Linked DNA regions of Struthio camelus. The protein of the gene in region 4 purifies or fractionates together with the protein of the main gene of each other region. This does not show direct contact. Links are inferred from orthologs where the notes say so. Each region holds a gene or a part of one and is shown on either strand. Other genes may lie near its edges. The genes, in order: DCAF11, CDKN1B, GLMN and CUL4A.

What was found.
Region 1: the proteins of CUL4A (region 4) and DCAF11 purify together in Homo sapiens (affinity purification with mass spectrometry; 13 studies listed by BioGRID and IntAct, counting the BioPlex papers as one, with this or other methods). This does not show direct contact. The link is inferred for Struthio camelus from reciprocal best matches to the Homo sapiens genes CUL4A and DCAF11.
Region 2: the proteins of CUL4A (region 4) and CDKN1B purify together in Homo sapiens (affinity purification with western blotting; 5 studies listed by BioGRID, with this or other methods). This does not show direct contact. The link is inferred for Struthio camelus from reciprocal best matches to the Homo sapiens genes CUL4A and CDKN1B.
Region 3: the proteins of CUL4A (region 4) and GLMN purify together in Homo sapiens (affinity purification with mass spectrometry; 5 studies listed by BioGRID and IntAct, counting the BioPlex papers as one, with this or other methods). This does not show direct contact. The link is inferred for Struthio camelus from reciprocal best matches to the Homo sapiens genes CUL4A and GLMN.

The regions. Positions count from the first base shown.
Region 1 is NC_090970.1:262,895-270,015, reverse strand, and holds the start of DCAF11 (DDB1- and CUL4-associated factor 11), read left to right. Parts: upstream 1-4,117; 5' UTR 4,118-4,131; coding exon 4,132-4,331; intron 4,332-4,573; coding exon 4,574-4,710; intron 4,711-4,835; coding exon 4,836-4,957; intron 4,958-5,049; coding exon 5,050-5,114; intron 5,115-5,210; coding exon 5,211-5,311; intron 5,312-5,389; coding exon 5,390-5,536; intron 5,537-6,073; coding exon 6,074-6,128; intron 6,129-7,121. Other genes in the region: PCK2 (phosphoenolpyruvate carboxykinase [GTP], mitochondrial), read left to right, coding at 478-932. UniProt on the Homo sapiens protein: May function as a substrate receptor for CUL4-DDB1 E3 ubiquitin-protein ligase complex.
Region 2 is NC_090942.1:81,531,027-81,538,684, forward strand, and holds the start of CDKN1B (cyclin-dependent kinase inhibitor 1B), read left to right. Parts: upstream 1-4,653; 5' UTR 4,654-4,977; coding exon 4,978-5,452; intron 5,453-6,014; coding exon 6,015-6,136; 3' UTR 6,137-6,145; intron 6,146-7,536; 3' UTR 7,537-7,658. UniProt on the Homo sapiens protein: Important regulator of cell cycle progression. Inhibits the kinase activity of CDK2 bound to cyclin A, but has little inhibitory activity on CDK2 bound to SPDYA. Involved in G1 arrest. Potent inhibitor of cyclin E- and cyclin A-CDK2 complexes.
Region 3 is NC_090949.1:18,831,900-18,839,562, forward strand, and holds the start of GLMN (glomulin), read left to right. Parts: upstream 1-4,649; 5' UTR 4,650-4,734; intron 4,735-6,313; 5' UTR 6,314-6,322; coding exon 6,323-6,388; intron 6,389-6,873; coding exon 6,874-6,999; intron 7,000-7,663. Other genes in the region: putative RNA polymerase II subunit B1 CTD phosphatase RPAP2, read right to left, coding at 978-1,092, 3,273-3,318, 4,497-4,557.
Region 4 is NC_090942.1:156,807,775-156,815,263, forward strand, and holds the start of CUL4A (cullin-4A), read right to left. Parts: upstream 3,004-7,489; 5' UTR 2,919-3,003; coding exon 2,738-2,918; intron 2,646-2,737; exon of another isoform or gene 2,577-2,645; coding exon of another isoform or gene 2,486-2,576; intron 2,141-2,485; coding exon 2,025-2,140; intron 1-2,024. Other genes in the region: PCID2 (PCI domain-containing protein 2), read left to right, coding at 4,585-4,620, 6,037-6,126, 6,709-6,782. UniProt on the Homo sapiens protein: Core component of multiple cullin-RING-based E3 ubiquitin-protein ligase complexes which mediate the ubiquitination of target proteins. As a scaffold protein may contribute to catalysis through positioning of the substrate and the ubiquitin-conjugating enzyme.

The DNA.
Region 1 (7,121 bases), on a different chromosome or scaffold from region 4:
CTCTGTCCCCAGTGGCCCCAGTGTCTCCAGTGAGCCCCCATCTCTGTCCCCAGTGAACCCCTATCCCTGTCCCCAGTGTCTCCAGTGCTCCCTTTCCCTGTCCCCAGTGGCCCCAGTATCCCCAGTGCCCCCTATCCCTGTCCCCACAGGTCTTGGTGCCCCTATGACCCTGACTCTGACATCCCCAGTGCCCCCCAACCCTGTCCCCAGTGTTCCCAGTGCCCCCCAGCTCTGTCCCCAGTGCTCCTATAACACTGACCCCAATGTCCCCAGTGTTCCCAGTGCCCCGAACCCTGTCCCCAGTGCTCCCAGTACCCCCCTAACCCTGACCACAGCGACCCCGTAACTCCGATCCCACTATCCCCAGTGCCCCCCAACCCTGATCCCAGTGCCCCCAGTGCCCCCCAACCCTGACCCCAGTGCCCCCACCACGAGGCCCCGCCCCCCGCTGACCGGCCCCGCCCCCCCCCGACCCAGGGAAGCGCCTGATGCACGACCCCTTCGCCATGCGGCCCTTCTTCGGCTACAACGCGGGCCAGTACCTGGCGCACTGGCTGGCGGTGGGCGAGCGGGCGGGCGCCCGCCTGCCCCGCATCTTCCACGTCAACTGGTTCCTGCGCGACGGCGCCGGGCGCTTCGTGTGGCCGGGCTTCGGCCACAACGCCCGCGTCCTGGCCTGGGTGTGCCGCCGGGTGGACGGCGAGCCCAGCGCCCGACCCACGCCCGTGGGGCTGGTGCCCCAACCCGGCGCCCTCGACCTGGCCGGCTTGCCCGGCGTCACCTACGCCGACCTCTTCCCCATGGACCGGCCCTTCTGGGAGCGCGAGGCCCGCGACCTGCGCCGCTACTTCGACGAGCAGTTCGGCTCCGACCTGCCCAAGGAGGTGCTGGGCGAGCTGGAGGCCCTCGAGGAGCGCCTCAAGAAGATGTGACCGCCCGCCCGCCGCCGAACGCTGGCCGGCGCCTTCGCGGACCTTTCTTCGTGCTCCCTTGGCCGACGCCTTCGCTGCTGGCTCTTCGCGAGCCGTTGGCCGCCGTCTTCGCTGACCAATCACCGCGTCCCCCTCAATCTCCGCCTTCGTTGCTCGGTCTCCGGGACCTGCTGGCGAGCTTCTTCATTGACCGATCGCCCCGTCCGTTTGCCCTCCATCTTGGTTGCTCGGTCTCTGGAACGTGATGGTCGCCGTCTTTGTTGACCGATCAGCACGTCCTCTCAGCCACCGTCTTCGTTGACCAATCACCGCGCCCCCTCGGTCTCCGTCTTTGTTGCTCAGTCTCCGGGACCTGCTGGCCGCCATCTTCATTGACCAGTCGCCATGTCCCCTTGGCCTCCATCTTGGTCGCTCGATCCCCGGGACCTGCTGGCCACCATCTTTGTTGACCAATTACTATGCTCTGTTCAGCCTCCATCTTTGTTGCTCGGTCTCCATGACCTGCTGGTCTCCATGTTTGTTGACCAATCATGACATCTCTTTAGCTACCGTCTTCATTGACCAATCAGCGCATTGTTTTGAGTGCCGTCTTCGTTGAGCAATCACTGCATCCCCTCAGCTGCCATCTTGGTTGCTCAGTGTCCGGGACCTGCTGGCCACCATCATCTTGAGCAATCACCGCGTCCCCTTGGCCGCCATCTTTGTTGCTCGGTGTCCATGACCTGTTGGCCTCCACCTTCGTTGACCAATCACTGCGTCCCCTTGGCCACCATCCTGGTTGCTTGGTCTCCATGACCTGCTGGCCTCCACCTTCGTTGACCAATCACCGCCTTGCCTTGGCCACCATTTCTGTTGCTTGAGCTCCATGACCTGGCCTCCACCTTCGTTGACCAATCACTGCATCCCATTGGCCTCCACCTTCGTTGACCAATCGCCCTGTCCCCTTGGCCACCATCCTGATTGCTTGGTCTCCATGACCTGCTGGCCTCCACCTTCGTTGACTAATCACTGCATCCCGTTGGCCTCCACCTTCGTTGACCAATCACCGCCTTGCGTTGGCCACCATCTTTGTTGCTTGGTCTCCATGACCTGCTGGCCTCCATCTTTGTTGACCAATCGCCACGCCCCCTTGGCTTCCACCTTCGTTGACCAATCACTGCGCCCCCTTGGCCACCATCTTTGTTGCTTGGTCTCCATGACCTGCTGGCCGCCATCTTGGTTGACCGTCCTTCGTCCGACCGCCCTGTTGCCCGACGGCTCCGCCCACCGGCCGCCGTCGCCTGCTGACTGATGCCACTGTGACCCCATTGGCCGACGTCTCCGTGGACCCGCGGCCCATTGGCCGACGGCCTCCGGTGGGGGGGGGGAGAAGGGAGGGGGCGGCACCTGGGGGGGCTTGGGCCGGCGCCGCCCCTCGCCTGACCAATCGCCGCGCCCTGTCGGCCCACCACGTCGCCGCACCCCATTGGCCGGAGCCTGCCGCCGCCCGGCCCTTTCCCAGGTGCCTTTGGGGCGGGTGGGGACCAATAAAGGAGCCCTCAGGGGGGCGGAGCCAGGTCTGTGTTGTCCTTGGGGGGGGGGTCAACGGTCAGAGGGGGGAGGAGCTATGGGGCAGGGTCAGAGGGGGAGGAGCTAGGACCAACTCGCCGCGGCCAATCGGCAGCTACTGAGGCTCTGTGGGAGCTGTCAGTCACGCTAGTCCCACCCCCCTCACCCCCCAGCCTATCAGGGAGCATTGTTAGGCTTGCTCCTCCCACCCCAGCTGCTCTCCAGCCAATCGGGGAGAGCGCCTCCCCCTCCACGTCCCACCCTCCCTGTCAATCATCTGCCCTGCCAGCCAATCAGCACCTGCCTCGCCAGGCAACGGGGGGGGGGGGAGGGAGAGGCAGGAGGCGGCGCTTATCAGCTCCCGGCCAATCAGAGCCTGCTGTGGGGGGGGCGGGGTTGAGGGGGGACGGCAGCCAATGAGCTGGCTGGGGGCTCCCCCCCCCCGTGGGGGGGTGGTGGCAGCCAATCAGGGCGCAGCGCCTAGGCTCCGCCCCTCCCCGGAGCCTCCGCTCTGGCTGCGTAAACAAGTTGCTGCGGCCACCAGGTGAGGGGGGGGCGCCGCCGGTTGGGGGGGGGGGCGCCTCGGAGCGGCTCCTGATTGGTTGCCGGCGGGGAGGGGGAGCGCCCTGATTGGTGGAGCAGGCCCCCCCCAACCCGGGGCGGCCGTTGCTGGGGGCGCCGGCGGGGTCCCCACCTTTTGGGGGGGGGGGTAGAGCATGCGTGTCCCCCCCCCCCTCACGGCACAGAGGGTCCCCATTGGCTGGCTGTCCCCGTCCCCGCCCTCTGATTGGCTGGCAGCGGGGCACCGCTGTGCCCCCCCCTCGCGCCTCCCCCCCCCCCACATTGAGCTGGGCGACCCCGGGGCTCCGATTGGCCGATACTGGGAGTGACACTGGGGGGGGGGGGGCCGCCCCTCTCCCGGGCCCGTTGCCGGGGGATACCGGGGTCAGCCGGTCGCCGCGGGAGACCGGGGGTAGGCCGGTTGCCGGGGGTCGTGGGGGTGTCAGGCAGTGGCAGGGTGGTCACGGGGGGGGGGAGGGGAACAACCCGGTCGCTGGGGGTAACCGGTGTCAGTCCGGTCGCCAGGGTAACTGGGGGGGGCACCCGGTCACCGGGGTAACTGGGGGGCAGCCTGGTCGCTGGGGTAACTGGTGTCAGTCCGGTCGCCGGGGTAACTGGGGGGCACCCGGTCGCCGGGGTAACTGGGGGGCAGCCTGGTCGCTGGGGTAACTGGTGTCAGTCCGGTCGCCGGGGTAACTGGGGGGCACCCGGTCACCGGGGTAACTGGTGTCAGTCCGGTCGCCGGGGTAACTGGGGGGCAGCCTGGTCGCTGGGGTAACTGGGGGGCAGCCTGGTCGCTGGGGTTAACTGGTGTCAGTCCGGTCGTCGGGGTAACTGGGGGGCAGTTCAGTCGCCGGGGGTAACCGATGTCAGCCCGGTCACCGGGGTAACCAGGGGGCAGTTCGGTCGCCGGGGGTAACCGATGTCAGCCCGGTCGCCGGGGTAACCGGGGGGGCAGTCCGGTCGCCGGGGGTAACCGATGTCAGCCCGGTCGCCGGGGTAACCGGGGGGGCAGTTCGGTCGCCGGGGGTAACCGATGTCAGCCCGGTCGCCGGGGTAACCGGGGGGCCCCGCAGGCGGGACGCCGCAGATGGGCTCGCACAGCAGCAGCGGCGGCGGCGGCGGCGCGGGGGGCGGGCGGGAGGCGGGGGGGCCGCGGCGGCCCCGGGGCCGGCAGCCGCCGCCGCCCCCCCCCGCCGAGGAGCGGGAGAACGAGGAGGAGGAGGAGGAGGAGGAGGACGAGGAAGGAGACATCGACCTGGTGCAAGTGGTGGCCTACCTCCTGCGCAGGTAGGCGCCCCCGGCGGGTGCCCCGGGGCATCGTGGGATACGGGGGTGAGGGGGGGAATGTCCCAGGGCATTGTGGGAGACTGGGGGGGGGAATTGGGGGCGGCCCCAGGGGATTGTGGGAAGGGGGGGGACCCCCAGGGCGCCGCGGGGGGCGGGGGGGGGGAGGACGAGGGGGGCGGCTCTGCTCGTCCCCGAATGTCCCCTAACGCCCCCCCTCTGTCCCCCCCCCCACCGTCGCACAGCCGGCGGGTGCGGCTGGTGCAAGACCCGCAGGCGGCGCGGGACCTCTCCGACGACGAGGAGGAGGATGAGGAGGAAGACGAGGAAGACGCCGAGAGCGCTTGGGAGGGCCGCCCGGGCGACCGCTACGTCCCGCCAGGTAAGCCGGACGCCTGGGCCCCTTGGCATGCGGCGGTGGGGGGGGGGGTGGGAGCAGGGGGGGCAGCGTCTCCCCCCACCCACCCACCCGCCCGCCCGCCGCCGCCGTTAACGGAGCGCTGGCAGCGGGCGCCGGCCCGGACCCGCGGGCGCTGGACGGCCACGAGCTGAAGGCGCAGCTGCAGCTGGCCGAGGGGCGCGTGGGGCCGGGGCCCACGGAGCAGAGCTTCCCCCGGCTCCTGCGGCAGGTAGGGAGCTGGGGGGGGGGGCCGGGAGGGGGGGGGAGGAGGGTCGCGCCCGGACGCCTGGGCCCCTCACGGCGCCCTCTCGCCTCTCGCAGCGGGAATGGGGCCGGTGTCGCAACGGCAGCTTCTCCTGCGGGGAGAAATCCCGCGTCAGCTCGCAGTGAGTAACCGCGGGGTGACGGGGTCGGTTGGGGGGGGACGCGCGGCGGTTGGCCTTGCTCCGCTTGACGCCCCCCCCCCCCCCACTCGGCTACAGCTTCCTGCCCAACCACGTGAGCTTCGCCGAGTGTTACGCGCAGAAAGCCTTCTGCGGCGTCTACTCCGACGACGGCAAGCTGTTCGTGTCCGCCTGCCAGGGTGAGCGGGGCGGCGACCCGCGGGAGGGGGCGGGGGGGGGGGGTCTGTACAGGCGCTGACGGCTGTGCCCCGCCGCAGACCACACGCTGCGGCTGTACGAGTGCCGGGGCGACGAGCTGCGGCTGTTGCGGGCGGCGCGGGGCCGCGACGTGGGCTGGAGCATCCTGGACGTGGCCTTCAGCCCCGACGCCACCCAGTGCCTCTACTCCAGCTGGTCCAACTACAGTGAGTCGGGGTGGGGGGGGGGAGCTTGGGGGGCGGGGCTTGGGCCAGGGGGCGGGGCCTGAAGCCTGGGGGCGGGGCCTGAAGCCTGGGGGTGGGGCTTGAACCCCTTGCCAGGACCTAATGCAGTACTTGCTAGTCGAGCAAGTGGGTTGGGGGTGGGATATGAGCCTGGGGGGTGGGGTTGAGCCTGGGGGTGTGGCTTAGTGTCAGGGGGTGTGGCTTGGGGCGGGGTCTGGCCTATGGGGTGGAGCCTGAGTCCCTCAGCAGCACCCAGCTTCTCTTCTGTCCTAGTCTGGCTGCAGGGAGTGAGCTTGGGGGGCGGGGCCTGAGCTCAGGGGGTGGGGCCTGATCCCAAGGGAGGTGGGGCCAGGCTGTGGGGGTGTGGCCTGAGCCAGGGGGTGGGGCTGGGGGAAGCCCCCCCACCCCCGGCAGGGCTAGCTGTGGGGGGGGGGGAACAGGAGTGGGGCCTGTGAGGCTCCTCCTCCCAGGGGGTGTGGCTGATGTGGCCCCTCCCCCTCTGCCTGTGACCCCGCCCAGTCCACGTGTATGACATCTACGGGGACGGGGACAACCACACCGCCCTGGATCTCAGGTGGGGCTGGGGGCAGGTTGGGGGGGCGCTATGGGGCGGATAGGGGGGGCCAATGGGTCAGGTTAGGGGCTGCATGGGGCAGGTTAGGGGCTCTATAGGGCACATTAGGGGTCTGTGGGGCAGGTTGGGGGCTCTGTGGGGCAGCTGGGGGGTCTGTGGGGCAGGTTGGGGGCTCTATGGGGCAGCTAGGGGGTCTGTGGGGCAGGTTGGGGGCTCTGTGGGGCAGCTGGGGGGTCTGTGGGGCAGGTTAGGGGCTCTATGGGGCAGCTAGGGGGTCTGTGGGGCAGGTTGGGGGCTCTGTGGGGCAGCTGGGGGGTCTGTGGGGCAGGTTAGGGGCTCTATGGGGCAGCTAGGGGGTCTGTGGGGCAGGTTGGGGGCTCTGTGGGGCAGCTGGGGGGTCTGTGGGGCAGGTTGGGGGCTCTATGGGGCAGCTGGGGGGTCTGTGGGGCAGGTTAGGGGCTCTATGGGGCAGTTAGGGGGTCTGTGGGGCAGGTTAGGGGCTCTATGGGGCAGTTAGGGGGTCTGTGGGGCAGGTTAGGGGCTCTATGGGGCAGCTGGGGGGGTCTGTGGGGCAGGTTAGGGGCTCTATGGGGCAGCTGGGGGGTCTGTGGGGCAGGTTAGGGGCTCTATGGGGCAGCTGGGGTGCTGTGGGGCGGCACGGCGGGCGCTGTGGGGCGGCGCCGTGGGTCACGGGGGGCCGCGGGGCGCAGGCCGGAGGAGCGGCGCTTCGCCGCGTTCTCGCTGGCGGTGGCGGCCGACGGGCGGGAGGGGCCGGGGGGCGGAGCCGTGGGGGGCCGGCGGGCCGCCGTGGGTCGGCGCCGTGGGTCACGGGGGGCCGCGGGGCGCAGGCCGGAGGAGCGGCGCTTCGCCGTGTTCTCGCTGGCGGTGGCGGCCGACGGGCGGGAGGGGCCGGGGGGCGGAGCCGTGGGGGGCCGGCGGGCCGCCGTGGGGCGGCGCCGTGGGTCACGGGGGGCCGCGTGGCGCAGGCCGGAG
Region 2 (7,658 bases), about 75 Mb from region 4:
ACAAACCGTGGGAACAGGCCCCTGCCCGAGTAGAGCCCTCCCCCAGGCCAACCCCATGGCAGCCAGGGCTCCCCCAGCCCCGCTGTTCCCTGGGAGGTTGGCCCAACCCGGCTTACTGGCTCTGGCGTGATCTTTGTCCTTAGGCTCCCTCTAGAGTTTACATCAAATGAGCAAAAGGTCTTAAAACTCCAGTTGGCTTCCACATCTTTTGTCAGTCTGGGGAGTTCAGGTCGGTGGCTGGGCGCTTGCAGCTCTCCTCCTGCCTGGAGCAAGGAGGAGCAGGCAGAGCTGGCAGCAGGATCAGCTAAGCCATTGGGAAACCATGCTCTGTCCCTACAGCAAGCTGAGGAAAGAGGGTTTGGGCTTCTTGTAGCTCCCCTCGTGCATTTTTCTAGTGCTGGTCACTGGTGAATTATATCTGAGAGACTTGGTAGAAGAAAATAGCATAGGCCTGTTTCCTCTGTGACACGCTACTGCTAAACCTAATAGGGTCCTAATTCTGCCAACAAGGGAAGGGTTACTTTTAGGCATGTTAAGAATATCCCTAGTGACCTGTGGTGAGATCTTGGGGTCTGTGCCTTGCATCTCATGATGGCCTCATCCCAAATTCCTTGAGGAAGCTAGCATTTTTCCTGAAATATTGGAGGTGTGAGGAAACAATCAACCCAATAAAAACAGAGGTGGGTCAGAAGCTTCCTCAAGCCTTCAGCTTTTACAGGCTCATTTCATGCCATGCCACCTTCACCCTCAGCTCTAGAAGAAGCATCCTGTGGAGCAGCTCAGGTATTATTCCCAATTTACCTACAATTTGTAAGGGAACATAAAAAATCCCAAACAACCCAAACTCACATCCTTTATGTGTATAGTTTAATGTGCTTTGCTGTTTAGTTAGACAACCTCATTAAGTGTTGGGGAAGGAGGGTGGCCAAAATGAGGCTGGGAAGCTTGCCGAAGCAGTTTGGGAGGAAAACAACATGGAGAAGCTCTGCCAGTGCTAAAGCCCAAATAGGAGAGTGGAGCAGGGTACTGGGAAAAGAGGGGACAGGGTGTTCAGAGACCATTAGCCAGGACATTCCTCGCACAGACCTCCGTATAAACAGTCCTCGTTCCTTCCTAGTCCTCTCCTCCAAGTTTTTTTTTTTTTTCGTGTCTCCCTTTCTCTAATCCTCCATTCCCGATCTTTGCCTCTCCTTCTTCAGCTTAAATGGCAAGAGCGAAAGAGAGAGAGCTAGCAACCTCGAGGGAAGAGCCTGGCTCTCCCCGGGGCTCGGCTCCTCGTCAGTTCTAGGCGGCTGCGCGGCCGCGCAAGGCAGCGCACGGCCCCTGCTCGGGCCGGGCTGCTGTGCCCGGCTTTTGCAAGACGATGGCGCTCTGATATTTCGCGATCTTTACTGCGGGGCTCTATAGTATTTTTTCACGCTTCGCTGCTACTACAGCAGGCGCCTGCCTCTCTCGCTATTTGCTGCAGCCATCGGGGGTGCCTGACTGTAAACAAAACACTTTAGATCATGGCAAGGTCGCTGCAGACACAGCCTTTCTCCTCGCAGCCGCCGCGATTTAAGGTGGACCCGCCGCGGCCGAGCCCTTGCCCGCGGGGGGAGCCAAGTGCCGCGCCGGGGCCGCGCAACCTCGTGTCCGCCCTGCTATTTTTGCGTCTTTTTTACCCCCCCCTTCCCTCTCCCCCTGTCACTACGCTCATTTATCCCAGCGCGACCCGAGTGTGCCGCAGCCCCGGGCCGGGGAGCAGCGTTTTGCGGGGGCCGCGATAGCTGCAGAGGGGCCGCTGCAGGCTCAGGTGCGGCCCCCCCGGCCCGCCCCGGACCCCCCTTCTACTGCCCGGGGAGGCGCCGCGGGCCCCCCCGGCCCACCTGCCTCCTCCGCGGCCACCGGCCTCGGGGCCCCCCTCCGCCGTGGCCGCGCGCGGAGATTTAAAAGAAGAAGTGATGGCATAAGCCAGATGCAGACCACTCCTACTTCGTTTTGCTTTCACTGCCATCAGTGGCTCCATTGATTTTCCCCCCCCCCGTTTTTTTAGTTACTGGTTTTAATTATCCAGGTACATTTACTACTCTAGCATCTGGGGGCTCAGTCTTAGGTCCTGGTGCTAGGGGCGGTACAAGCAGAACCAAAAAGAAGGTACTTGCTCTAAAGCTCTGCTTTTTCAAAAGCTATAGATAAATCAGTGCTCCTTTCTGCTGTAGTCACCTTCCTGTTTGCTCACCTGTGGCACACGCAATCTTTTTCCCAATGCTCGCCCCCCATTATTTTTGTTTTGGTGGAGGTTTGTACCCAGGTGCGGTGTCGTTCATCCTACCAAGGGGCTTGCCTCTCTGAGTTACTGTTTGTGGACTTCTGGAGCCCTCATGGACTCAGGAATCGTACACTGGCTCCCAAGCAGCCAGGGAGCAGGGACTGGGAATTTCTCAGCTAAGAAGTTACTGGTCAGACCTTCAGCAGATTATCAGCAGGCTTTGCCGCATGAAGGCCCCATCAGCACTATGAGCCCTGGGCATCTTCAGGGGAGCCCCAGGACATATTTTGCATATTGCTTTCTTAGTGTTTGGCTCTTTTGTTTAATCATAGCAAAGCAAGTGTCCTACACCTGGCAGAGAAAGTGAAGAAAAGTTTGAAATCACACTTCCGTGCTGGTAACTATGAAAGTCAAAGACAGGAAAAGCCTGGAGAAAGGAAGAAAAAATCCTTTAAATAAAGCAGACGAATAGGCCCCACTTTGCCAGCTCAGGGAGTTTTATCAGAGAGTTGAAACTCAAGAAAACTCTTAAGCTCCTGCAGACATGAGAATGTCAGCTTTAATTTTCTGCAAGTGAATTGCTAGAACTTGTGGTTGCTGAGAGAAGTTGGAAAACAACTTCTGAGTGCTAAAAAAACCGAGCAAACAGATAGAAATAACATGGCTAATATTTTATTTCAACCTTGTGGGTTTTAAAACAATCTCATTTTGTATTCTTCTTGTTTTAGCTGCACACATCATTTTTTGAACTTGGAGGTGGCAATACTGAGATTACCCTGGAGAGAGTGGGCTGAGCAAAGGCCAGGGGGCTGCTACCTCCGGGTTGCTGCAGGCCAGCAGACTGCTTTGCCCAGGGCTTGAGTTCTGTATAACTGTTATGTTCCCTCTCCCAGTGTTTGCAGAGTTTAGCTCGTCACTTCACAAGAGCAATTGCAGTCAAAGTTTCAGTGGCCCTTCAGGACTGTAGACCCCAAAGCACTATGTGTATGTGTTCAGCACAGGGTAAAAACCTCAATGTCTTCAAGGCCAAATCAGTTGACCCTGTTCTCTCAGCCAGTTACACCTAGTTGTACTGACTTCCACCTCGTTGAAATAGTTTGTCACAGCTGCAGTCCCAGCTTTGGAGAAGGTTGGCCTGCCTGCAGAGAAGAAATGGGCAGACGGATTGGTGTGAAGAGCCTCCATGCTCCCAAACTGGACCCGGGTCCCCGGAGAGGTCAAGGCCTTTAGCAGTAGGCGGCAGCATCCTGGGGGTGTGCTGGCTCCAGAGTACCTGCAGTGTCCTGCGACATGCCCTGCTGCTGTCCATGGGGCCGCTCTGCCTGGTGATGGGAGATGGCTGAGGAAGGGGCGGGAGATAAGCAGGGTAGAGCAGAGGACACTATGTGCCTCTTATCTCCACCATACCTGCTGCAGCTAGCTGAGGAAGTAGCTTAGAAAATCCCTGGCTGTGATTCTTGGCTCATCTAATCTTCAGAGCACACAAACAGGACGAAAACTAATGCTTTTGTTTTCTTTTCCCGGCTTGCCGAGTTCTGAAATCCCAGCAGAGGTTTTTAGAGCCGTTTTTTCACCTAGTCCTCTCTCTGTCGGGAGGACAGCAAGAGGTTATCTTTCCCGCCCTCGCGCCTTCCCCTCAGAGCCACCAGCCTGACTCTGCAGCGGGCTGGGTCAGGGTGCTGGCGGGTCAGGGTGCTGACAGGGAGAGGTGCCCGTCCTCTCGGCACGCCCCGGGGGAACGAGCCCCCTGCTAGCCCCGGGCCTGCCTGAACTCCCGACCTGGGGTGCTGCAGCGCAGGAGCCCAGTCCCGGGAAAAGCAGCGATGGGCCATTTCTGTCGCAAGAACGGGTCAAAATGTAACTAGCCGCCACCATTTCTCACTTCAGCCCTTTCAGCCAAGCGACGGGATTATTTTTTTTTGGGGGGGGGGGGAGGCGGAGGGGAGCACAGGCTCAGCCCAGCCCGGCCCTTGCAGAGGGGGGCGGCGGCTGTGCGGCCCCAGCGGGCTCGGGGCGAGCGGCGCCTTGGCACAGCGCTCGCCTCCCTCGCGGTCCTGCCCGCTCCGTCCCCTCTGCCCCCTCCCTGCGGCCGGGCGCGGGGGGCGGCAGCCCCGCCGGGGCCACCTTTAGAGCCGGCGGCGGCGGCGAGGTAGGGCCGCGCCGACGGGGCGGCGCCCGCCGCCGTAACCAATGGCTCGGCTCCGCTGTTTAAATAGACTCGTCCTGTCAATCATTTTCTTCTTCGTCAGCCTCCCTTCAATCGCCATATTGGGCAACTGAGAAAAGGGCTCGTCTCCGCTTGTTTTTTTCCGTCTCGCCCTTACTACGCGGCCGCGGGGAGAGCGGCGAGGCGCGCGGGCGCGGCGGGGCATCGGCGGGCAGCGCGGAGCCGCCGGCCGGGCCGCGGAGGGCAGCGCCGCTCGCAGCCTGCGCGCTCGCCCGCGCAGCGCCTGACCCGCCCGGGCTCGGCGGCGGCGGCGGCGGCCGTCGGGGCTCTCCCCTCGCCCCGGCCCGGCGCTTATGCGATTGTTTGCCGTCGCCTCTTCTCCGCGGTCCCGAGGAGGTGCCGGAGAGCGGGGCAGCGCGGCGAGGAGGAGCGGAAGAAAAGCTTTCACCGCGGAGAAATAAAAGGCAGAGAGGAGGAGGAGGAGGAGGAGGAGGAGGGGTGGGGGGAGAGCAGCGAGAAAAACAACCGCCGCCAGAAGAAAAGAGGGTTGTGGGGGGAGATGTCAAACGTACGCATTTCTAATGGGAGCCCTACCCTGGAGCGCATGGAGGCCAGGCAGTCGGAGTACCCGAAGCCTTCAGCTTGCAGGAACCTCTTCGGGCCGGTGAACCACGAAGAGTTAAACAGGGACTTGAAGAAGCACTGCAAGGAGATGGAGGAGGCATGCCAGAGGAAGTGGAATTTCGATTTCCAGAATCACAAGCCCCTGGAAGGCAGGTACGAGTGGCAAGCCGTGGAGAAGGGGAGCTCGCCCGACTTCTACTTCAGGCCCCCGAGGCTACTCAAAGCCGTCTGCAAGTCCGCCGGCCACCAGAGCTTGGATGTAAACGGGAATTGCCAGACCGTGATTTTTGTTGGTTCTCAGGGAATCTCAGAGGACACTCACTGTGTAGATCAAAAGACTGATGTTTCTGAAAATCAGACGGACTTTGCAGAGCAGTGCACTGGGCAGAGGAAAAGACCTGCCACTGACGGTAACGTACCCTTGCGAAAGCCGTGCGGGCCCCGATGGTGTCAGCGCCGGGGCTCTCGACCCCTTCGCCCGCACCATACGCGTCCTTGCTCCGGGGGGGCTCTGCCCCGCCGGGCACCGTTTTAGGTGCCCCACAACCCCCAGCCTCCTTTCGCCTTAAAAAGCCCAGGTGCTGTTTTTAAGTCCCAGGAGCGTCCGACGTGCAATGGGAGCCGGTGGGTGATTTGCAAGCAAAAGCCCTTATACACTAGTAACACCCTCTGCGGGAACCCGGCTCCCTCCGAGCAGAGGAGCAGCACCAGGGGTTTCATAACGCCCGTGTGAAGCAAAGGACGGACAGGGATTTTAGATAAAAACAGGAAGCTTGTCTCTTTTACCTAGGGAGGAGCCCTTCTCTCCTCCCCCTGCTCTCCTTCACTTAATCGATAGTAGACATGGGGAGCCGGCAATGTTCCCTCCCCGGCCCCATCTACCCCTCCGGATGCCGAGCAAAATTTGGCAGGAAAATATTTTAATATCACTGTTCCCCCCCACCACCCTTGTTTTTAATTTTCCCCTCCTAGATTCCTCTCCTCAAAATAAAAGAGCCAACACAACAGAAGAAGAGGTTTCAGAAGACTCCCCCAGTGCAAGTTCAGTGGAGCAAACACCCAAGAAATCAAGCCCAAGAAGACATCAAACGTAAACTGTTTAGGTAGGTTCCCACTAGGACCTGGCGTTAGGATGCCAGTTAGGCAAAGAAAGGGAAACCGAGGGCGGTATATATCCTGCCACTATAGGGAGGCTTCAGGCCACTCCAGGCTGGCTGATGAGGCGTTTCTCCTCCGAAACTTTACAGACCGCGTACTTTTTCCCCTAACGCTTTTTGCCTGGGTGTGTGGGGGTGGGACGTTTCTTTGAAAGGAACAAAACGAGCGCGCAGCCCCGCGGGCGGAGCGGCGGCCCGAGGCGCGGGGGGCCGCGGGGCTGCGCCGCCCGGTGCCGCCGCCCGGTGCCGCCGCCGCCGCCTCTTCGCATTTCGCTCCCTCGGATAAGGGAGGCTCCTCTCCCAAAGGCTGCCGGGCCTGCGCCGGGGCGGGGGGACGGGAGTTTCAAACGCGACGGTTTTATCATGTCAGGTGACAAAGGGGGTTGGGGGGGAGCTTCCCCCTCCCGCCTTGATGCCTTTGCACGTAGTTTACAATGTCAGCATTGTCTTCGCACGGAGCAGCCGACTTCCACCTCGGGAGGGCTGAGTAAATAAGTTGGATGGAACGGGAACGGGGGCATTTTCTTTAAATGCGAGCTAGACAACCTTTTTTTTTTTTTTGTTTCCGGTTGTTTTGGTTTGGGTTCAGACGCTGGCAGAAGGGTGCGTTTACGGGGAAGGGAGTGGGTTAATGGGAGCTGGGTCTTTTTTGTTGTTGTTGTTTTGTTTTAACGTGAGGGCTGGGGCGGAGGGAGTTGGTAAATTCTGCCGGCGGTTTCAGAGTGGAGGTTAGAAGAAAGGTTTACAAACGCGATTTGCGATTGTGCTGGAGAGATTAAGCTGTAAAGCAGAAGTTGCAACAAATTAGTCCTGCTGGGGTGAGCGGTGGCAGAGCACGTCAGCATGCGTGTCTATGCAAATGCTGCTACTACCGCCCGTTTGTTTGGGTGGGGGAAGCTGCTCGGCGGCAGGCCGGCGGAAAAGGGGTTAAACCTGGCCGAGAGGAGGGTTCTCGCATTATTTATTTTTACTCCAGCGGCACAAAATGCGTTTGTGTCCCGAAAGATGAGGAAACGCAAGCGCGGCGCTTCGGGCCCGCTCGCCCAGGGCCTGCAAAGCGGCCGCCCCGCCGGGGGAGCGCGGGCCGGCAGCGGCGGGCGCCGGCGCGGCCGCAGCCCAGACGGGGCGCACGGCCCGTGGCGGGGGGGAGGCGGCCGCGGGGCGCCCCCGGGGCCTCCTGTGCGGCCCGGGCTGCGCTGTGCTGTGCTGCGCTCCCCGCCCCGCGGAGCCCTGGCGGCCTGAACCAGTTGCGCCTGCCCGGCGGCCGCCGAGGAAAAGCATCACGTTTCTTTTCGACGTTTCTAATGTCTTCTCCTCCCGTCTCCTTCCCGTTGCAGAGTTCGGAATTTGCGTTTCCTTGTTCATCGGATGCCTCGGGGGTCTGTGAAGCGAGGAAAGTGTAAACTTGTAGTAAAAATGAAAATACATATCGTCGATCTCCATGGGATGGAGATCCTGT
Region 3 (7,663 bases), on a different chromosome or scaffold from region 4:
TGCACAGTCCCAAAACACTTGGAAGTCTTTTGTGCCGCCTCCCCCAATTACAGTCACAAAAATGCCCTCATGCAGAATTATATACTGGGCTACGGCATTCATATCAGGGAAGGACTTAACTAACTTAAGCCTGCTCCTAAACTTATTGAGCTTGGTGAGGAAAGTTTCATCTAAACCATTTACTTTGTAGAAACAGCTTTCAGTATGATGACTTGCTTTTTTGTTATTATTATTAGAAAGAAAACATTTTACGGAATCATTTTCCGCTAACTACAGTATCAAGTAAAAGTAATGGCAGTTATACTGTTAGGCATGTTCACAAAACTGCTGAAAAGCTCCACATTAATTCCCACTGCACAACACAGTCATCCTGAGCTTGATCTCTCAGCTTTGGCCAGATGAAACTATCCTGTATTTGGCCTGGGCCATGCAACTAATTCTGGACTTGATTTCACCATATGTGGTCACCTTTCTCCTACTGCAGCAGGAGCTCCCACTCTATGTACCGTTTCCAATTTGGTCATGGAAAACTTAGCTAGGAAACCCACATGTACCAGAACTGTAACATGTTCCTGCAGTGCTTCGCTTCAGGTAACTGCAGCAGGAATAATCCTCACACAACGCCAGCAAAACAGTGCTGCCAGATAAACTTTGGGGCAAAGAGCAGCATTGTAGAAACTTTCTCTAAATCCACAGAGGAGGTGATCCGGAGCTACCGTTTTAATATTTCACCCATCAGTCAGGAGCTCAAGAGGCATAAATGAAGGCTGTGGTAATAAAGTGAGTATATACACATAAGTGTATACAGTCCTTGAAAACTAGGGCATATTTTCTCTGCAAAACCCCTGAAAATACGGCAATCGTCCTCAGATCTGAAGAGATTTGTCTACTTTAAACTGCAGAAAACAGCTCCAAGAACTTTTTAAAAAAATTCTAACGCTAAGATACAAAATGGTATAAAAACTTGCAACACTTACAGAATTCACAAGGAACTCTTCAGTGATGTTCTCTTCCAGCAGCTGTTCAACAGTATACAGTGCTTTTTTTTCAAATTCAATCTTCTTTCTAATAGCAGCCTCCAGGGCTGCTTTCCTTTAACAGAACAAACACTGGATGACAGAGAGAGCAGACTCCCATGAACAATTTACCCAGTCTTCTCTATCTCTTTTTTCTGAAATATAGCAGCTTATATTTTTCTGCATTTCACCATGGTGGCCTAACAAAGCAACAAGTAATTGGACTAGGAATTTTCTAATAATCACAGGCCACCAAACAAGTTTCCAAACTTTGTTTACTTTTCTCTTCCCCTCAGTCAGAAAAGCATTGACTCTTATTGGCAAAACACCACAGAAGAAAAAAGTAAAAGCTTCAAGAGGGAGAAGAACCTCCTGTCTGGTAAGTAAATACATTGCTGCCACAAGATAACTAACTATATCAGTAGGTTTGTTGTGCCTGTGACACTTAAAAAAACAAAAACAGAGAGCTCTGCAAGAAGAGACAGTAATTTTTGTTAGACCAAAAGATATAATGGGGAAAAAAGCAATCATCTTTTGCACACACAGAAACCCTAGTTTAGGACTACTCTATCACCCCAAACCAGTTCTCCCAACAGAGGAGGCTCAAAAGTGTAAGAACTCAAAAGGCAGGGGTACGCTTTTTACTACATAAGCATGTAAGAGTCTAACTATACAATGGAATTACACGTTCTGCCACAAGAACTGCAGTTTTGCTTGCACTCATTGGTCATACGTTCCATTATATCCTTCCAGGTGGCTGCAATGAGACTCCACTATGTATTACATTTTCTTGATATACCCGGATTTTGGTCTTTGCTGAATTTTATTCTCCTGCTCTGAACTACGGTGATTAAACACCAGCAGCCCAAGTGACAGAACAGAGATTTCCCTTTGTAGTTCTTCCTCTCACCAGAAAAAAACCCCTCTCCTGCCACTTGCATCGGCACTAAGATTCTGAACGTTTTGGGCAGCATTTACTGCTCATGTAGCCACTTGTTTCCTGCTCTGGAACAGGTGACATGCTGTCCCACCCAGGTTAAAGGAAGAAGGTATGAGCCCATAGGTAAAACAAGGACAACCATTTAATCTTCATTTCTGAAAAGACTGGAGGTTAAACACGTTTCATTTTTCTTTCTGGTCAAGCTATTCTCCTGGAGCTTGGCCTAAGTACTATCAAGTCTAGGATGACAAATCTGAGACTTAAGATCCGCATGAAGTTAGTGCGCAGTTCAAGTCTGCCATTCAGATGGGTAATAAACGCTATGTAAACCAAATCTCTGGCACTTGGAAGGGGCAAACCAGACCAAGTTGCTCAGGCTGACATTTCTGAGTCATTGTGTGAGCCAGCTACATGCTCATCCAACAAGAAGATGTCAGCTCCTCCCCCACACCTGTACAGCACATAATATCTGTCCTGCAGCTTTTAGCCCTGTTAAGATTTAATATACAGCTCTGGACTCAAAAGTTGGCTATAATCATTCTAAAGAATACCGGGTTCATGTTCAGCAAATGCTCAATAAGAGATGGAAGAGATGTATCTGTTTTTCCAAGGGTCATTTGAGAATCCCCCAGAGAGGATAGGAACTGGTTTCTCAAGTAGGATCTTAAAGAGTTAAGACACTCCGAAATCAGTGTTTCAAGATTTAGATAAAGAGTTGAGAAAATAAGATAGAAATCTAATTATTAGCAGTACAGTCTGAAATCCAACAACAATGTCTTTTGACTTAAGTCAGCTATTATTACTTTACCAGAAGTATTACTTTTAAAAAAGCCAACTATAAAACCTGACTCTTCTTAAAAGGAGGGGAAGCCCAGAACGGGCTGGACCAAAAGCCTGGGACAAACATCTATGGATTGACAGGAGAGGCGTCAAGTACAGGAAAGAAAAAGGACTAGGACAAGACTGAGCGTGAGGGTACAAAAGAAAAGAAGGAATAAATCAAAGGGTTTCAAGGGGAAAAAAATGATAATACCACCCTCTACAGCTACTATCACTCACTACCTTGTCTAGTGCTTTAAGTAGGGAAGTGGTGTTTTATCTTGTAAGTGTTTGAATGAGGTATCTCTATATTAAGGTATGTAGTTAAAAGTTATGCAGCATCATTGAAAACAGGTTAGCATGATCTGTATACTGGCTTATTTCCTTAAGTTAGCTATGGTATTTTGAGAAAGAAAAAGAAAAAAGTGAAATGGAGAATATAATCAAAATGAAGCAAAACAATGAGATCGCTATGTACTACTAGTTAGAAATCGTACCTCTGAGCAGCATCTTCATTCTTCAGAGCAGCTGAATGCTTATTTCCTAGAAATCAAATAGATAAATCAGTATACCTTCTTCCTTTAAAATGCATTTTAAGCCGTGAACAAACGGAACTGTCATGTTTCCATGCTCAGCCACCGTGCAAATAGTTCGATCCAGGAAAACATTACAAACTCCAAACTGTAACCATAATCAAGGCAGTTGCTTAGGCGCTTGGTTTTTGGTGGCTGCGCCTAGCTACCGTAAGCTGGTAATCCACTCAGCAACTAGTTAGACGCAATCTTTGTACGCGAGCGGACAGACAGGCCTAACGCTGTTCTCTCGTGTGACAGGCTCTGCATAACGAGCAAGCGAGAGGAAAACGGCTTCTGTCTGAGCTGAGAAACGCAGCTCTCCCCCTGCGGCCACACCGCTGGGAAGCGATACCCTTTTTTCACCCTCCCCTCACTCTGGCCGCGGGCAGGGGCTGCCTTCGGCCACGCAGGCCCCCCGCCCGGCCCCCCGCCCGGCGACAGGCCGCGGCCTCCGGCACGGCACCGCCGACGCAGCGGGGCTCTGCCTGCGCCAACCCCGCTCTCCTGCGCCCGCCCAGGCAGCCCCTCCGTGCCAACACACCTGACGTCTCCCGCACTTAAGAGGAGACGCGGCGTCCCCCCGCCGGAGCCCCGTCCTCCCTGCCACCGCCCATCTCCTTCGTGCATACGCCACTTTTTTTTTTTTTAAAAACATGAAGCCATTTTCAGTACTTTCTGGGCAGTCAATACTGTCCAGGCAAACACGGAGCAGCAGGGCGGAAACAAAACAGACTGATAAGCTTCACACGTGTATTTTCAGGGGCTTTGATCAGCTGTGAAATGCGGCGCGTTTGACGCCCGGCGCCGGCGCCGCCCACCGCGGCAGAAGCGGGGCCCGCAGCCCCAGGAGGAGGCGGCGGCGGCGGCGGCGCCGCACCGCTGCCCGCCCCTCCCCAGCCCCACCGAGCTCACGGCAACCTCTAGAGCCCCCTCCAGCCCCGCGGGCACCGCCGGAAGGGCGGGAGCCGCGCCGGGAGGTGTTCCAACCGTTGTCGCCGCACAGGCAACAGCAGAGACCCCGGGAACCCGCAGGCCTCCTCTCCTCCTGTGCCGCGAGTTGGGTCATTCCGCCGGAGCGGCCTCAGGGCACAGGGAGAGCCCACGGCGCCGCACGGGGGGGGGAGAGGGGCGGCACGCGGAGCCTACCTGCGCGCCGCCGGCTCGCTTTCCCCTTCGCGACGCCCTGCGGCTTCGCGGCCGCCATCATCGCTGCCGCCGCGCTCCCTCCCTCTGACCTCTGACCGGGAGGCGGAGCCGGGCCGCGGCCGCGAGCGGGGAGAGGCGGCGGCGGCGGCCGGGCGGGCCGGGCCGGGCCGGGCCGGAGCGGCGGGAGGCGGTGGCGGTGGCGGCGCGGAGGGGCCGCAGCCCGGCGGCCGCGGCTGAGGTGAGCGGGCGGCGGCGTGGTGCGCGTTTCGTTCAGCCTGGCGGGCGCGGGCGGCAGCCGCCTCGCGTTGGCCTGCGTGCCGTCGCCCAGCGAGGGAAGGGGCTGAAAACAACTGGATGTTACCAGTGAGGGGGCAGTTCGCTTGAGAATTGGTAGCGGACAGTTCTTCGTGATTCAGGTGTCGTTGGCTACTGAAACCACTGAAAAGACTTAATTCGGAAGTGGATTAAGTGTTAAGACCTGAACTGGCTCTGGGCTCAGCTGGCAAATCCCTGGCAGCTCAGGGCATGCCTCAAGGCTGTCAATGCATTATAAAGTTACTGAGGGCTGAAAATGCAGGGCTATTAACGTTCAAAAGTATCTTTACATTGTTTGGGGGGAATTAGTAAGATCCTGTAAAATTAAGAGCTGAAGTAGTGCAGTGAATGCTAACAAAGTGTATGATAATCACAAAATTAAAATGACAGGCCCGATGCATTGCTACATTGGAGTGAAGTAGAAATGTTAAAATAGGCAATTTAGAACAGAAAGTAAGTTATTTATTCTTTCAGTAATAAAATTCACATACGGGTGCTTTATAGGTTATAGTGAGTTGACTGATTTTTGTAAATATCTGAATAGCTTAGATGCGTAGGTATTGCGTTAGCTAAGGTCAAACTTAAGGGGAAAGATGGAGAACCGTACATGGAGATGGCCGTATAGATACGGAGCTTGGATATTTTCGTGAGAGTTAGCTGTTCACTCAAGGGCAGAGGCAAGTGACTTGTGCATACAGTCACAGTGGTTATGTAACCATATTTATGCACGTGGAATTAACGTAAAGCATAAAGAAAGAATGTGACTACCGCTATGATATATCACGTGAGAAAACTGAACTTGACTTTATTTGTAAGTCATGGCCCTGACCAGGTAGAACTTGATATGCACTTAATTTTACTCAAATGTTTAACTTAACTGCTTTCAGCAACAGCAGTTGTAGTGTCTAGAGGTAAAAGGCCACTGAACCAGCAGTAGAAAGAAGTAAATGATACTGCACATGTAATCTTTATGAGACTAAAACGGTGTTGATATAAACTGGCACGGTGGTTGGATCAGCTATGCACATCCCAGGCATCATCTAATTAGAGCCTTCTAGTCAGATCTAAGCAGAGAGCTCATCTGATTAGCATATTCAGAGCAAATGTAGCGTAGCGGGGACATCCGCACCTGGTACGCAGCAAGTCCAGACTTGCTCTGCAGTAGTTGCAGTTCTCAATGTAGGTGTTCATGTAGTAGCCAAAGCCTGCTGACAAATTTTTAAGATACCTCTGATAACATTTGAAAAATTACTCCCCTGTACGCAATGTAGGCTGCTTCCTGTCTAAAATAGTATCTCCTGCAAGTACAGGAGGTAGAATAATATAGCATACACTCCTTAAAGATGCTTTTCTCCTATCTTTCTATAATTCAGTCTTCGTAATATGTTTGTCTTGAGTCTTCTCATTTCTCTATTCAGCGTTCTTTTGACAATGTGATTATTTTTCAACCTCTGTTTTTACTTTGGGTGGTTTAGTATTGCACTCTTTTTAATTTATTACAGAAATTTTAAATGCCAGAAGAACAAAGTCAAACTATAATGGCAGTTGATGAACTTCAAGCCATAATACAGAGATGCGTAAGTACTTTTCATAACAGTTGTAGGCGAAAGCAGAGTAAGTTTGTCTTTATACACTGTAATTAAAAGCAAAATGACCCTAAAAGCAGGACGGTTGTTAGCAGAACTCCTCATTGGGCAGCTAGGTTTAGCCTTCATGCTTCATTGCCTTCTCTTTGGTGCTTATCCCAAGATGCTTGGTAACTTCTGCCTCTTGGAGGAAGATATGTTCTTGTTTCACTCAGCAGTAGCTGTGTGAAGGAACAAAACGCTAGCAGATTGTTGCAGAAAATGCATCTCCCAAGTAACATGCTGTTGTCTAGACTTGGAAAATACTATTGAAATACTGCTTTCTCTTCTGTAGTGGCTCTCAGTAATTATTTTTAGTATATAAAAGATGATATGCAAGAAAAGACATTCCATTTGACTTTGCAATGAAAGCTTGGGTTTGCTTATTTTTTGTCTTTTATAAAATACAGAGTCAAACATGCGTATTTTCTTTCTAGCAAATTCTGGAAGAAGCTGATTTCAGGGGAGAAGATTTTAATCTGTTTCAGGTAGCAGGCCAGAAGTGTTTAGAAGATGGATATGCAGCTCAGTTATTAGAAGTAGTTCAAAATGAGAAAAATAAGGTAAGTTTAGATTTATGTTACGTCTTAGCTGTGTGCTAAACACACCATTAATAGTTAAAGCTGCATATGAGGTGGGAAAGCTACTTTCACTATGGAGTAAGGGTGCACATATGAATAGTTAATCAGTTGGTCTGTGTGAAGTGCACATTCTAGTGTAATTTGAGTTACTATGACTTGTGTACTCAAGTCACAGTAATCTTAACAAAGCTATTAACAGCTGTTTTCCTGTGAGTTAAGCAGAAGGGAGAAGAGAGGCCAACCTCATAACGAACAGAAAGTGACAGTGGCCCTCTGTGGCAGGAGAGAGAATTTCAGATGGCTATAACAGCATTGGCCAAAACCGTAAGAGCAAACAGCTAAGCTGATGCTAATGGAAGAGAAATTGTGTGTATGCGCTTTGAGGGGCTGGGAGAACGTACTTACGTTGAATATAGATAAAGAGGAAGTCTGAAAGGAAGGGAGGGATGGAATGTTTTGGCAATATTGCTCGAGTCTGATTATGATCTCTGTGATCATCTTCAGTAGCAACTGAAGGTCTTCAAAGAATGGGTTTTCCCGTGGACAAAATATTGTCCAACAATAATTTCTTTAAATTTTCTTTCCTTGATTTGTCTATTCAAAAACCAGCAAAAAATCTCCTATTTGAAACGTTTTATCATATAAA
Region 4 (7,489 bases):
GCATTTCTTCCTACTGCCTCACTTTCTCTATCTGATCAAACACAAGCTACCTTTATCAACATCTTTGCAAACTACCACCAGTCCCAGGCACCATTTCTATTTTAGTAAAATAAAATTACCCATCACCCTCCGATTGCTCTCTGACTATATCTCTGCTAAGCACCTCCATGCTTTATCCCATGCTGCTTCTAATGCTTGGAAAGGAGTATCCTTCAGACTTCCCAGAGAGCCTCATCATTGTTCTTCAGTCTTTCTTCAGCCACCATGCCAAATTAGATAGATAAATCAAGAAGTTCAAAAGCAGGCTGGCGTGAGCCTTGTAGGCCTCTCACTTCCTCTCATAACGTCAGATAAAGGCACACACAAAAAAGCCCTGGTAGTAAAAAGAACTGATACACACACAAAAATATTCCCCTGAGGACTCTGTGCTCACCATCAAGCTGTTAAAAATGAACTGTAAGTACAGATCAGGTTTCCAATAGATGCTGTACTTGGTCTTTTATTCTTCTGGCAGGAGAGTACGTACATAGGCAAAGACACACTCACATCCACTACCTGCTGTACCAGAACCTTTCTGGTTTGCACCTCTACCTGACATACTGGCCTTACAACGTGCAGTTTTTGCAAAGGAGCATGCAAGCCGAAAAAGCAAGAAATAGAGTTTTCCCTTCGCAGTTTATCTGAAATCTCTCTCTTCCTCTTCTGCCAGAACTCAAGTCTATACCTTAGTGATTTCATACCCATATCACTATAATCTCATTTCTGAGCTTCTGAAAACAAGTTAGGCAAAATTCAAAGCATCTGCATGTTTTTGCCAGGCATGAAAAAGCAGGATTTTTCACGTGCTGAGTTTAAAACCATAAAATATGTTATGTAATTCAAACTCTGCAAACTCGTAAGGAATAATAGATGCGGAAATCATGGTCAAGTGGTCCTTTTAAAAGCACCAAATTATATGAAGACAATATGGATTTATTTAATCACCCATTTTACACCCATATATTAAATACCTTAACTAATCGTAGAGTCCAATTTATGCTGACTTTTTGAGTATGGCCTCAGTGTGGACTGGATTTCTCTTCCCTCACAGTCTATGCTTTCCAAACTCCAAACCTACCTCTGCTGAGCATTTAAAAGATTTTTCATGGCAATACTGATGTCTTAAGTCTTGATCTGACAATGAGATCCACATCTGCAGATCAAACATCTGCACCAACAACAAACTCATAACTAACTTCAACTACATAGCACAACCTATTGTATTAGCAGTTTTTTGATAACACGATTATTGTAAAAAAAAAAAGTACTAAAGTGGCATATCTCAAAGCACATACATTTACAATAATATAAAACTACATCATGCATAAATGGAGAAAACGGTGAGGAAGAAATGGCTCATGCCCATTTCTTTCTTTTACCCTTCCTATCCCCTATCCCGTGGTTTAGATGTTCCAGCAATAATTTTTCACCATTTTAACACAAAAATTTAAGACATCAGTTCTTTTGAAAATACAACAGTAATGTGAACCAGAGATGAAGGGATAGTTTGTTGCCTACTCAATTTTAATTCCCCAAAATGTATTGATGACGAAGCCTAATTATTATTATAGCCAATATTTTAACATTTAACAAATATTTTAACATTTAGTATTCACTAGAGACTAAAGCACACGTGGAAGAGAAATCATCACAAATTATACACCTGCATAACGAAGCGATGGTAACATCCAATTTTCAGTATCCTGACGCTTAAAACGTCAGCCCTGCCCAGACGGAGCCTCCCAGGTATCCCAAAATAATTTGCTTTTTCACGAGCTCAGACCCTGGTAGTTTTCCCAGGACCTAAGAGCCACTTTTCTACAACAGTGAAAACGGGCTAGAAACAATACCAAGAAAACAGTCCGGGACATCCAATCCACTTCTAACTAATCAAGACACACCACGTTAAACCTGTAGGTCTCTCCAAGTCCCAAAGCAGTTAACGCTCTGCCTGTTACAATAACCATAAACACTACGCATCTTACCTGGTAGAGCTCTTCAAGGTTGTACTTAATAGAAATGCTGCTCTGTATTGCTCCCACTGCTTCGTGAAGTTTTTGCCATGTGTCCTGAGTATAATTATCTGGTAATTTGGGTCTTTCTGTGGGGGGGGGGGGGGGGGGGGGAGAAGAAAAAAAAATTATACAGGTAGTTGAAAACTAACCAGCCAAGGAACGGCTATCCGTAGCAATCTTTCTCAACGCGCTTTACTCATTTCCCCCAAAGGAATTTTTTTCTGTGTGACCGCTTAAGCGTGAAACAACAATAACAAGGTGGCCGCCCCCACGCGCAGGGCAGGGCAGGGCAAGGCCACGCACCCGCGGCCGGCGCAGCGGGCGGACAGCCCACCCACCCCCCCCCCGGGCACGGGCTCCGCGCACCCAAGCGCCCACCCTGCCCGCCGAGGGCCGCTGGCACAGTCGCTGCCAAAGTTGTGAAAACACACCCGAAGCGTCCGAGGTGTTGACGGGCCCCCGAAACGCTCGTCCGCTCCGAGGCGGCGCCACCCGCCCCACCGCCGCCGCTATCGGCGACATGTCGCCCCTCGGCGGGGCGCCGCGGGGAAGGGGCGGGGAGGCGGCCGGGCCCGCAGTAAACAAAGGTCGGGAAAGGGCCGGGCGGCGGGGGCAGCGGCCCTGGCACCTGCCGCGGCCCCGCCCGCCCCGGGGCAGCGCCGCGCCGCGGGCCCCGCACCCACCTCTGAAGTTCTTGATCACGAGTTTCTTGGAGGAGGCGGTCGCGCTGCCGCCGCCGCCGCCACCTCCTCCTCCTCCTCCTGCGGCGCGGGCGGCGGCGGCGAGCGAGGCGGGCTTGGTGAGCCCGTTAGTGTGGCCCACCAAGGCCGACAAGTGCGGCTTCTTCTGGGGCTCGTCCGCCATCTCCGCCCCGGGCGCCGTGTCCGGCCGGGGCAAGGCGCTGAGCTGGGCTGGGCTGGGGCCGGCTAGGTCCCCGCCTCCGCTCTCCTCCTCCTCCTCCTCCTCCTCCCCCACCGCTCCGGCTTCCCGGCCCTGCCCGCGGGCGGCTGCCAAGTGCCGCCGGGCCGGGCCGGCCCTCGCAGGGGGCGGCGGCACGATCCCCGCTCACAAGATGGCTCCCGAGCACGCCGGGCGGCGGCGGCGGCGGGCGGGGGGGGGGCGCCGCCATGGCCGCGCAGCCCCCCTCTGCCCGCGCAGGGGAGCCGGGAGCGGAAGGCCTGCGGGGGGTAGCGGGGGGTCGGTTAGCCCAGGTAATCCTTCCGAAGGGCCTCAGTTCCCTGCGCTGCCTCTGGCTTTTATTTCGTGGCGTTTGGCACAGGGCTGCACCGTGCTTTCTAAGGAACCGGCTGTTTTTCATGCCTCGAGTTATCTCGCCTTCGGAGCTCTGAAAGCAAGGCAGTTTCAACAGCTAATGCTCAGTTTAGCTTTTTTTTTTTTTTTTTTTTTTGACCCACGCTTATACAGCCCATCCTTGCAGGCAGCGTTGCTCTGGAGGGCACAGCCGTTAACGACCAGAAAGGGACAACAAACGTTGAAAAACTAAGGCCACGGGCGGCAGGGGGGGGGGGGGAAGGAGACCGTTTCCCCAACAACACACCTCTCTGCTATCGCTAGGACCCAGGCTAAAAGGTAACACGAACCCGGGAAGCTAAACGCGACTGCGTGCCTAGCAGAGGGAGGATATGGACCCCTTCTACCAAGCGCTGTGAGAAAAAGGGCAAACAGGAGCCGGGGCCGCCCGCCCTTCACCGCTCCTGTTACCGACACCAACCAGTACGCCAGCCCCTACGCGCTCCTATGGCCACGAGCACCCCCCGCAGGCTCCGCCCCCCACGAGGTTTACCCGCTGACGCGCGGCCTCGGCACCGCCCACCTCGCCTCCCCATTGGCCGCCGGGGGGAAAGCCACGCCTCCCGCCCCTCGGGGGGTGGGGAAGAGGAGAGGCAAGTGCCGTCCCGCTGAGAGCAGCGGGAGCCGGGGTGGCGTTACGTGATCCCTTCCTCCCCGCCATTCGGAGGGCCGGAGCGGTGTCACGTGGGCTGCGCGCGAGGCGGTCGGTGTGCCGGAAGCGCCGTGGCGGTTGCCGGAAGTTGCGCGCTGCGCCGCGCCCTGGCTTGAGGCTGGGCCTGCGGTGAGGGAGGGCCGGGCCGGGCATGGCGGAGGTGCCGCCGGGGGCAAGGGCGAGGGCTGGAGGTGCCGGCGGGGACGTGCTGGGGGATGCGGGCAGCAGAGCAGTCCAGCCGGGCGTGTCCGTGCGGCCGTCGGGGCTTTCCTCCCCTCCCGGCGCTTCGGTGGCGCGATTTCCCCCTCCGCACAAGCTCCGCGCAGCAGGCGGGACGCGCCTGTGCTCTGCTTTGCTTTCCCTGAGGCTGCGTCCTTTCCCTAGAGGCCGGCAGCAGGTGCCGGGTCCTGAAAGACTGGGTAAAGTCGTACCGAGTTGCCGAAGGGGGAAAGAAGAGACCTAGTTGGGATTTTGTCACTTCGTTGTTCTCTAAATCTGCTGTTGGTTTTCAGAATGGGACACAACTGCGTTTAATCGGGGACTCCTGCGTCGTCTACTTCTATTTTAATGGCGCATATCACCATAAATCAGTATTTGCAGCAAGTAAGCAAGCTTTTTATTTGTGGGTACTATCAGAATATAAGGGCATGTGGAGGTTTTTTTTTTTTTTTGGCTGGAAATGCATTTTCTTGTTTAAGAAGTCAACCTAGAATGTGTAATGTGGTAAATAAATATACTTCTTAATGTTGTGATAAGTACATTAACTGTCTGCCAAGGATGTATTCCTGAATAGTGTGAGGACTACTGATATGATGGATGGTGAAGCAGTTTGTCCATAAGAATTAATGTGGTGGAATCGCATGTGTGCGGGGATTTAATAAATATACACAGTTTAAACGCAGAGACAAAGTGTTTGTGGCAGGAGGCTGCAGAGGCAGGAACAGGATCATAAGGATCGTCAGCTGGAGTGAATCCTCAATGTCAAGCTCTACAATTCTTGTTGCTTCTTTTTGAATGATCACGTTTGCATCACTGTTACCATATTCCTTTCTTGAGTTAGGGTCAGTCAAGTTAATTGAGTGAAGGAGAGAAAAAGTGAGTAATTTTTGTTGTTCAGCCTCAGAAATGAAGCAGTTGAGATCTCCCACAACAGTGATTTGCTCTGAAAAGTCAGCATCTTCTCTTGTTAACAGTCTCAATGATCTCTCCTCTCCATCCTCCATACCATATCTGCTGTGGAAGTACTTTTAGATATTAGTTGTTAAAATCCCCTTCCCAATTCCCATGCTTAATTTGTCATATTTTAATGTCTTGGTAGGAAAAATATCTTTACTATATGAAAAGCCTGTACTAAATCAGAACACTCATAGGCAAAAACTCATAGACTAAAACAGCAAGGAAAGCTGCAAAACTGAGGAGAGAACATAAAATCAACTGCTAACACTCTTCCAGAGACTGTTTGCTTTCAAGTAAAGGAGAATTAATATTATCTTCTGCAACTGGCTTTTTATTATTAAATACTATAAGTTCATATGAAATCTATTTGCAAGTCCTGATTGGTGACAGGACCAAATTACATCTGCAGCATCACAAACAGTAATGCTCAAAGATTTTTTTTTTTAATGGTTCACATATATATTTGGTGCTCATAAGTCCAACTGGAATTTTTAAAAACTTCGAATCTATTTCACAGCCGCTATCTTAAGATGCGAAACCTATGTAACTTCTTTTGGGCTTCTCTGATTTGGTTGTATCCTACAGAAAAAAAAAAACCTGTTTACTTCACCTTCTCTCCTGATAGCTTTTTGAAAACAATTAAAAGTAATTAAAACAATTAAAAGTATTAACAATACTGTACCGATATTGATTCCTTCAGTTTTAAACTTTTTAAAACTTACATTTGGGAAGGTGCTGATACGCATGAACAGTGATAACAAGGTAGCTTCCTTAGGTGTATGTAAATATGTTGTCTGGCTGTGGCTAGATTGTGTTCTGTAATATGTTTGTTTTCCTGGGTAGGTACAAGAAGCTATCGACAGCAGAGATGGACAATTTTGTGCGGAATTGGTATCATTTAAGCATCCACATGTTGCCAACCCTAGGCTTCAAGTAAGACTCTGTTATCCTGAGAAAATCTGTTTTTGGCCTTATTTTGTGTTCAGTTTTCCTCTCTCTCCATTGGGATTTCTTTCCACGGGGTAAAATCCTCAGAAATCTGCTTTACACCTCAGAGCAGGTTCCCCTTGTAGGTTTGTTCTCCCCTTTCTTTTACAAGTATACTATCTATCTGCATCTTTTCCTGGATGGCTTTTTGTCCTCCGTTTTGAATTGTTTTCTGGATAGGCGTTTTGAAGGCTCCCTGTGGCCACGTCTGCATGAGCAAGTGAAGTGGCACAGTGGGAGTGGATATGAAGATCAAATCACCTGGTCCTGAAGATCCAGTGCTTGCACTAAGTGTTTCAGAGGCTTTTATCTAAGACTAGCTCTAATCTGGTCCTGTGGACAGAGTGGACGCTAGCAGTTACATTGCACTGAGCGTGAGTCTTAGCATAATGTAAGGTTCTGGTAGATAGCAAAGGCATGCATGCGTAAGACTGCCATGATAAAATACCCTTATGATGTTCTATTTCTGGTGCAATGTCTGTTCTTTTAATGTTTCATTAATTTATTTTATATTTATTTTATACTTAGCTTCCATCTCCAGAAGAAAAGTGTCAACAAGTTTTGGAACCACCATATGATGAAATGTTTGCAGCCCACTTAAGGTAATGGCGGACCACGAATGGACAAGTCATTTGTGAGGCATGCTGTAGGGATGGGGAAGCATAGCCTTGAGTTTACTTGGTTATTTTAAAGGGCTTACATCTGAACATTTGGCATTTACTGCTCTTATAAACAGTGCTAGAATTGCAGGAAATAAAAACTTCTCTTTCTTATGTGCATAGACTTTGCTTTATGCACCTGACAGTCATCTGTATATAGCCCTTGACACAGCTTTGGGTTTGGTGCTTGCTATTTCATTTGTTCTTTTTTACTGGTTACACAGGAATTCAGAGTGAAATAAGGAAGAGAAAGAAATGTTGGGGGGGAGGGGGAGAGGGGAAGGAAATATTCATCCTAAACCTACTCTTAGGACAGCTGTAAGAGTCAAATAATTCTGCAAGGCTTTTATTTGAAAAAATTCAGTATTAACACTATCTTATTAACACTGTCTTATTAACACTATCTTTTAGCTCACTTTCCAAAGTCTTAGAATTTTTTTTTTTTCTAGGCCAGTCTCAGTGACAGTGTCAGTAAGCATTAGCTTATTACAGTTGATACTGTGCAGATTATAGAAATAAGGCCCTGTTCATCTCTCAGATCAGTTTTCCCCAACTGTCAAACTCGGTGCTCTATTAAAATGCTTGTGTCACTGTGTTAGGAATATTTCTAAAAAATATTTCTGTTTTTCTTTTACATAGAGTGTAAGGCT